Linked DNA regions of Sus scrofa. The protein of the gene in region 1 purifies or fractionates together with the protein of each later gene. This does not show direct contact. Links are inferred from orthologs where the notes say so. Each region holds a gene or a part of one and is shown in the gene's direction. Other genes may lie near its edges.

Region 1 (4,171 bases):
CAGCAAAATTAAAAGACAAATATATTTACATATATATTATGGGCGGGGAACTATCATTTGACTACAGTACAACAGATTTCCATCTTAAATTGCCCTGTGTCCTTAGTTTAAGGCAGATGCGGGACTAAACTGGAGACTCGAGCTAGGTACCTCAATGGCTTGGGCAAATTCATGAACTCGGTCTCCAAAAAAATAATAAAATCCCAGTGAATTTTTGTTCCCAATTTCTGGAGCACCGCTGGCATGTATTTTTATGAGCACTCATTCTGGAATATTCTGGCAAGGTAAATCCCGGCAAACAAAGCCCTGAAAATCAACAGACACTTGAGCCAGCAAAAGACAAGAATCCTCCCCAAATTTCCTTGAAACAAATTATCTTCCACACCTCCTGACCTCCCCTCCAGAGTCCTGGGTGTGGAAAGCAATGGAGGGAAAGATCAGCAGAGAGTTAAGAAGAGTCTGTCAATCACAAAGACAAAATTTGTCACCTGGAACCTTGCAATACATTCAGTTATCTAACACCCTCATTTTGCGGATGGGGAAATTAGGTCTCAAGAAGTAGCGCACCTGCTCAGGATCTAACAGCTATTTATATTCGTTTCCTCTACTACCCCAGTGGTCCTTTCCTCACTCAGTCCCAAATGTTTCAATTCGTTGCTAACACGGAGGTGAGAAAACCCACACCACAGTGTGGCCAAAAAGTTGGGGCTAAAAAGGGTCGTAGAGATAATCAAGTTAACCTCTTAGCTCACAGGTGGGGAAATTGACAATGGAAAGTGACGCAGCTGAGGCAATAAATCGCCGACCCTCTGCCACCGAGCAGGAGCTTCACAAAGGAGGCGAAAAATCACTGGCGACCCCACTTCCCGTCTCCAGGGAGGAAGGGTGTCAAAAAGAAATCCGATCCCTAGATTTCATTCAACAAGAACCTCGCGCTTCCCACGAAGAACCCGGAAAGAGGAGGCGGGGAAACGCGAATGGCCGGTGGCGCAGCAACGAGCATGCCACGGAGGCGGGGGACAAGTACCAAACTCCCGCCTCTCTCTTCCGCATCCGTTGGTGGGGAGAAAGAGCAACAGTAAGGCTGCGGCGACTCCCGCGATAAGAGGTACCTGAGGCTCGAGCCGCAGTCCCCCGCCGCACCGCACCGGAGCCTGACACCCTGCTTCCGGGGTTATGTTGCAGCTGGGGGGGACAAGATCAAGGGAGGAAGCCTTAGCCCCGCCCTATCCAAGCCCCGCCCCCGCCTACACTTCGCAGAGAGTCCAGGTAACTTCCGGGACGCTGTGCGTCACTAAGCAGCCGATCCCCACTTCCGGGCGCATCCTAGCCTTCTTCGCCGGCGGAGACAGCGGGACTGTGATCGAGATTTCCGCGCGTTTGATTGGCGGAGCGAGAGTGCTGGTCTCCGCGGATTGGTGCCGGGGAAATCCGCCCCGAAGACGTCTGCCGAGCTCAAGGTTTCAGTTGTCGGCTTGTTTCCCGCCATCTGTCGGTCCTGCATTGCAGTTATGGTGGACGTGATGGAGTTGCCCAAATCGCGCATCAACGCCAGCATGGTAACTCAGTTCATCGACCAGCCGGTCTGCTTCGTAGGGAGGCTGGAGAAGGTACGTGCGCTTGCTGCCCTGGGCTCCCCCTGGGGAAGGACCCCGTGACTGTCAGGGTGGAGGCTTCAGAGTGGCTAACAGAGTGAAGGAGGACGAAAAGCTTTGCAACATCACTGCTCTCCGACTGCTTTATTTCTCACAAGGGAATTTTTTTGCACACTTTTTATCCATTGCAGCCTTATTTTGGTGCTTCTCTTAAGGCGAGAAATAGGGAAGTCTTCGAATGCGCTGAGTTCTAAATTCTAGCGGCCCCCACCCTCGTTCTGTTTGTGTTTACATAAAGATTACAGACAGAACTCTCACATTTACTTTCAGATTTTTTTAGTTTAACCAGACTTGACAACTAAGCTAATTTTCTTGTTTACTTATGTTGTTAATTTCCTTTTTTCTCAAACCTCATTTTCTCGTTGAAGTCGCTTTCCTATAAACATTGTTTGATTGTCCTTTTCTGATCCAGCAGCATTCTGTTATCTCACACCTCTGTTAGAGGGCAGCCCCTCAGTCTGCTGGTAAGAAACAGGCCTGAAGTCTTAGAATCAGGGAACTGAGAAAGCTGAGGAAAAGAAAACTTTTATATAAAGTCTTATTTAGTGGTTTTAGCCATGTATCTTCCTGAAATAGCTGTATTCCAAAATTGGGAAAGAAACTGGGTAGGAATGGAGTGTGGTTACAAAATGCTCAAGGCCACAGTAAGTAGCACAGCTGGCATTCAAACCAGATCTGACTGCACTCTTTGCAGCTGTCTCACAGTAGAACCTAGGTCTTCTGACAACCAGTAGTTCTCTATTTATTCTTGCCTAATTTTTAAAAACATACCCTTTGGGAGATATGTACTCTTTAAATCATGGGTGCCAGTAGATCTCACTTTTAGATAGTATGGAGCCTCTTTAATTTGTTCTTAGCATAATGTTGCCAGATTTAGCAAATAAAAATATGGGACACATTTGTACTAAAAAGGAGGGGTTTTTTTTAATGAAATTCAGATTTAATTGAACATCCTTTGATCAGGTATAGTAACACAAGATAATTTGAACCAGTTAAACTTCAAATACAACTGTTTTGTGAGCATCAGTAAAGTAAGTATGGGTCAGTCTGCTCATCTTTTGGTCAAGCGTTTAATCTTTCAAAGAAGATTTTAAAGGGTTTTGTGTGGAGTTTTTTTTTTTAATCATGTTTCTTTTTTTAGATTCATCCCACTGGAAAAATGTTTATTCTTTCAGATGGAGAAGGAAAAAATGTAACCATTGAGTTGATGGAGCCTGTATGTTTAAGTATTAATTCTGTGTATATCTATCTATGTTCTATGTATATGTATATATGTATGTATTCTATGCATGTTCATTTTAATTTCAGAGTTAATTCTTCATCTTGTTTTGGTTTGTTGCTAATGTTTCTGATTCTTGGAGTGGATGTATAAAGGACCAGCTTATCAAACTTTTCTCTCTCTCTCTCAAATCAAATTTTTGCCCTCTTTTTACATTATATTTCCCTTTACATTTCTAACCAGTGATTTTTTTTTTGACTCTGATTTTTTTTTTTTTTTTTTGCTCTGCTTTTTAGGTCCACACCCCCAGCATATGGAGGTTCCCAGGCTAGGGGTCCAATTGGAGCTACAACCGCCAGCCTACGCCGCAGCCACAGCAACGCCAGATCCGAGCCATGTCCACAACCCACATCACAGCTCACAGCAGCCCTGGATCCTTAACCCACTGATTGAGGCCAGGGATCAAACCTGCATCCTCATGGATCCTAGTCGGGTTCATTAACCGCTGAGCCACGAAGGCAACTACTGGACTCTGATTTTTTAATGCATCCCTTAAATGCCAGGTGACAATTCTCCATCCTTATGAAAGACCAAAAAATCACGTTAAGAAAAATCTGTTTAAATCACTCTTTCCTTCCTTAGGAGTTTTACATTTTAAATGCTATTTTTTGTTTACATTTATCTTCAGAGTTCCCATCATGGCTCAGCAGTTAACGAACCCAACTAGTATCCATGAGGATGTAGGTTCGATTCCTGCCATTGCAGTGGGTTAAGGATCCGACGTTGCTGTGAGCTGTAGTATAAGTCTCAGACTTGGCTTGGATCCGGAGTTGCTCTGGTGTAGGCTGGCAGCTACATCGCCAACTCAACCACTAGCCTAGGAACCTCCATATGCTGCAAGTGTGACCCTAAAAAGAGACACACACACACACACAGAAAAAAAAAATTCATTTTCAGTTGTCACGTATTTGTTTTTACAGTTTATGTTTATTGTACTTAAAAATATTTTCTTGGTCATTTATGAAGACAGATCTGTGTGTTATTTAGTTAATATATGCAGAACGCATTGTATAAGATGTAGATAATAGAAGGTTCCTTTCAGTGGGCTCTTTTAAATGAATGACTCCTTATGGAAATGCTGGACATTCTCAGTTTCTTTAAGTGATTTTGTCTTCAACTTTAATGTTTAACTGTATCTTTGGACCTCGAGCCACTGCTAAAGGTAATAGGACTGGTGATATGCTGACAGTAAGTACTCAAACTTTTTTTAACAAGTAACAATTCCATTTTTGCATTG
Region 2 (3,571 bases), on another chromosome or scaffold:
GGTAAGTTATACCCCACTGATTCTCCATCACTTTGTAATTAATTACTGTGCACTAGGAGTACTTCAGAGATGTTTTAAATGCTTTTAAACAGTTAAACTTCTTTTCCTTAAATGCCTTTTGCTTATGGTGTGTGCTTTCCAAAGATACCATTTGAGTACAGTATTCAGAGTAGACTTGAAGGTTTGACTTTATAATTTATAGTTTTATCTCTGCTTTATGCTGAGTGGAAAAGCAAGATGTGAAATCTGAGGAGCAAATGTCAGTGGATTCCTTATAAGGATGGGCAGGTGAGCCTGGGAGTGAAAGAAAGAACATATTATGAAAAGAAAGATGTGTTTATTGGCAGAGCATTTTTAGACTTTGTCTCAGTCTGCCTAATCTGGATTCAGTGTATTTATTACATTTGGACAGTCTATTATATAGTAATGTACCCCCTCCTTTATATAATGAGCATGAAAAAAACTAAAGTGACATAACACGATTTTGTCCTCTCAAGTACCTCACCCTTGTGCCTTATTCAGTGCTGTTCTAGAAAACATATTCTCTGTGGCTTGCTGACTCTAGAATTTTGACCTGACCTAATGGCTATGGGCAGATTCTCACAAGAGAAATCCATTGTTAGAATTTGTGGACTCATTCTACAGTTAGGTTTAGAAAGCTTGAAGTTAAGGCTTTTCACATCACTTAGTATTTTGAAATAATCTATTTTTATGGTAAAGGTAATTTGCATATTTTATGGTAATTAAAGGCCAATTTTAACTTGTACCTTTTTTTATAAGCCTTTTTTGATTTATTGGTTCACTAACTTTCCTTATGACTTTTTAGTGATAAGAGAGCACTGAATCGATAAAAATTATGACTTAAGTAACTTTTTATTTTAATTATTTTGGCCACACCTGTGGCATATGGAAGTTTCCAGGTCAGGGATTGAATCTGAGTCACAGCTGTGACCTACGTCTTGGGCCAGGGATCGAATCCTCGCCTCTGTAGCAACCTGAGCCACTGCAGTTGGATTCTTAACCCACTGTGCCACATTGGGAACTTTTTTTTTTTTTTTTTTTTTGTCTTTTTGTCTTTTGTTGTTGTTGTTGTTGTTGCTATTTCTTGGGCCGCTCCCGCGGCATATGGAGGTTCCCAGGCTAGGGGTTGAATCGGAGCTGTAGCCACCGGCCTACGCCAGAGCCACAGCAACGTGGGATCCGAGCCGCGTCTGCAACCTACACCACAGCTCACGGCAACGCCGGATCGTTAACCCACTGAGCAAGGGCAGGGACCGAACCCGCAACCTCATGGTTCCTAGTCGGATTCGTTAACCACTGCGCCACGACGGGAACTCCCATTGGGAACTTTTAAAGTAACACTTAAAAATCTGCCTTATGTTCCCCAAATACTGATTTCTTATTTTTTGAGTCATGGACTCTATTAAAGAATGTCATGAAAAATATGGAACCTCTCTATAGAAAAATGCACATGCATACACTTAAATGTACACATATATATTTTACAACAATTTCAAGGGGCTCCCAGGATCTCTCAAAGCCTCTGGGCCTGTAGAACTTAAAGGATTGTTTGGCACTTAAGAGTTTTAATAATCTTCCTCTGTTCCTTTCGTGTAGGTGAAAGCAGCCTTCACAAGAGCTTACAATAAGGAAGCCCACCTTACTCCGTATTCACTGCAGGCAGTAAAGACACACAGACACAGCACAGGTCCAGTGCTGGATTCTGAATACAACGAAGAGTTAAATGAAGATGACTCTCAATCTGATGAGAAAGACCAGGACACTTTAGAAAGTGATGCTATGATCAAGGTAGTATATTTTAATGTACAAATAGGAGAAGCTATGATACTCCCTCAGAATAGCTTATCTTTTCATGTGTATGACTAACATTTTGAAATCATTCAGGGCCTGTTTAGCAAGTAGCAGAGGAAGCTGAAAATGCTTTTAAGTTTTTTGTTCATCACAGTTCATTTGTATAAACAGCTTCTATAACAGTGGAAGAGCCTAGTAACAAGAAAATAGCCATCATATTGATGGTCATGTGCTGTTAGTAAAAGGACAATTTTTATTTATTTGCCATTGGTGTGTGCTTTACGCACAGATATACTTTCACCGCATAATTAAGCATTTTTATTTTAGCGAAACCTTTTTTCCCTTCTGTTGTTTTCTCCTGTATACATTGAATTGCCTATAGAAGTTTCTCAGAGCAAAACAGCCTCATCTTTTGCTAGGAAAGATTAAAATCATGTATAATATTGGCCCACTATTTGCTATTGGCTGAGGCAAAGGAATCTAGTTTGTAGCCTCTTCTGTGCTTAGTGTGTGTCTGTGTATCATTCTCGATCCTGTTTGTGTTCTCGTTTCTGTGCAGGGGTGGGAACAGTGCCCTTCTTCAGTGAGGCGCTCTCTAGTCCTGTGTAGACCTAAGACGTCTACCTCTCTCCCCTGCTCAGAGTGAGCATGTTGGGATCTCTAATCTGAAACTGAAAGCAAAGGAAATTCTTCATGAGGACTTTACTGTATCTGTAAATTATCTCTTGCTTATTTTGTCTTTCTTAAATATACTTATGTTTTTTATGTTCTGAGTCAAAGAAAATGCATACTGGGGAACATATCCTAGTTCTGGCGTCTTAATAGATGTTCAGTAGTTAAAGGCTGCAGCTAGCCACTTGTGCTAGTAAGCATCAGGGTAGCAGTAGTTCAAGATCTAGGTGTTTGCAACCTTTCCCCCTTTTTAAGTTACAGGTAAAGATTTGATTTACTGTAGAGATGACTTTATTTCATTACTCATGAAACACAGCTATTAACTATTCTGTGCATCTTTCTTTCCCAACAGAAAAAGCCGAAACCTTCAAAATCAGAAAAAGATAAGGAGTCCAGAAAAGGAAAAGGGAAAAGTTCAAAGAAATGAAACTGTTTTTGACTGCTGACAGCCACTTTTTACTCACCCTGCTGACCAGTCTAGCTGGTCTAGAGAATGCCTTGTTTTTCCATAGGAACCATGTTGTAGTGTAATGGGGCAACCTCATGGTCCCGTTACAAATCAACAGTGGTGCAGCTAGAAGGATGCAAGCAGTAGGCTGGTATGCACCTCTTATAGAGGTTGATAGGACTCCTTGGGTCCTCCACTATCCCTTGTCAATCCAATGAGATTGTACTTCAAAATGACTGTATAATCAGAATTTGGAGTCAGATTTTAGTTAATGGTAATATGTCTGGGAACAGAGGTACTAAGGTGGCTTTTGTAGGCTTAAGAATTTATCCTAATGGCCATTATAGGACCAATGCTGATTTTCTTAAAAAGGGTAGTTAACTATTATGTGGTGAAATTTTGTAAATAAATTATAATACAAAACAGTCACCACCTAGAGCTGGATATTCTTTGTACATTGTCAGATATCTTACAAAATATAAATTAGGGATAACAATATTCCACAATACATGTACAGATTCTTAAGATTGTCATCTTATACGGTAAAATATTATGTCGGTATATTTTTTCCTTATTAATTTGCAAATGATTGGATAAAAAAACTAAGTATATTCTTACTAACCTTTGTGTGAAACATAA

What was found.
Region 2: the proteins of RPA3 (region 1) and RFC1 purify together in Homo sapiens (affinity purification with mass spectrometry; 3 studies listed by BioGRID and IntAct, with this or other methods). This does not show direct contact. The link is inferred for Sus scrofa from reciprocal best matches to the Homo sapiens genes RPA3 and RFC1.

Annotation. Positions count from the first base shown.
Region 1 is NC_010451.4:77,912,024-77,916,194, reverse strand, and holds the start of RPA3 (replication protein A 14 kDa subunit), read left to right. Parts: upstream 1-1,322; 5' UTR 1,323-1,511; coding exon 1,512-1,610; intron 1,611-2,796; coding exon 2,797-2,871; intron 2,872-4,171. UniProt on the Homo sapiens protein: As part of the heterotrimeric replication protein A complex (RPA/RP-A), binds and stabilizes single-stranded DNA intermediates that form during DNA replication or upon DNA stress.
Region 2 is NC_010450.4:30,555,879-30,559,449, reverse strand, and holds part of RFC1 (replication factor C subunit 1), read left to right. Parts: coding exon 1-1; intron 2-1,617; coding exon 1,618-1,809; intron 1,810-2,836; coding exon 2,837-2,911; 3' UTR 2,912-3,571. UniProt on the Homo sapiens protein: Subunit of the replication factor C (RFC) complex which acts during elongation of primed DNA templates by DNA polymerases delta and epsilon, and is necessary for ATP-dependent loading of proliferating cell nuclear antigen (PCNA) onto primed DNA.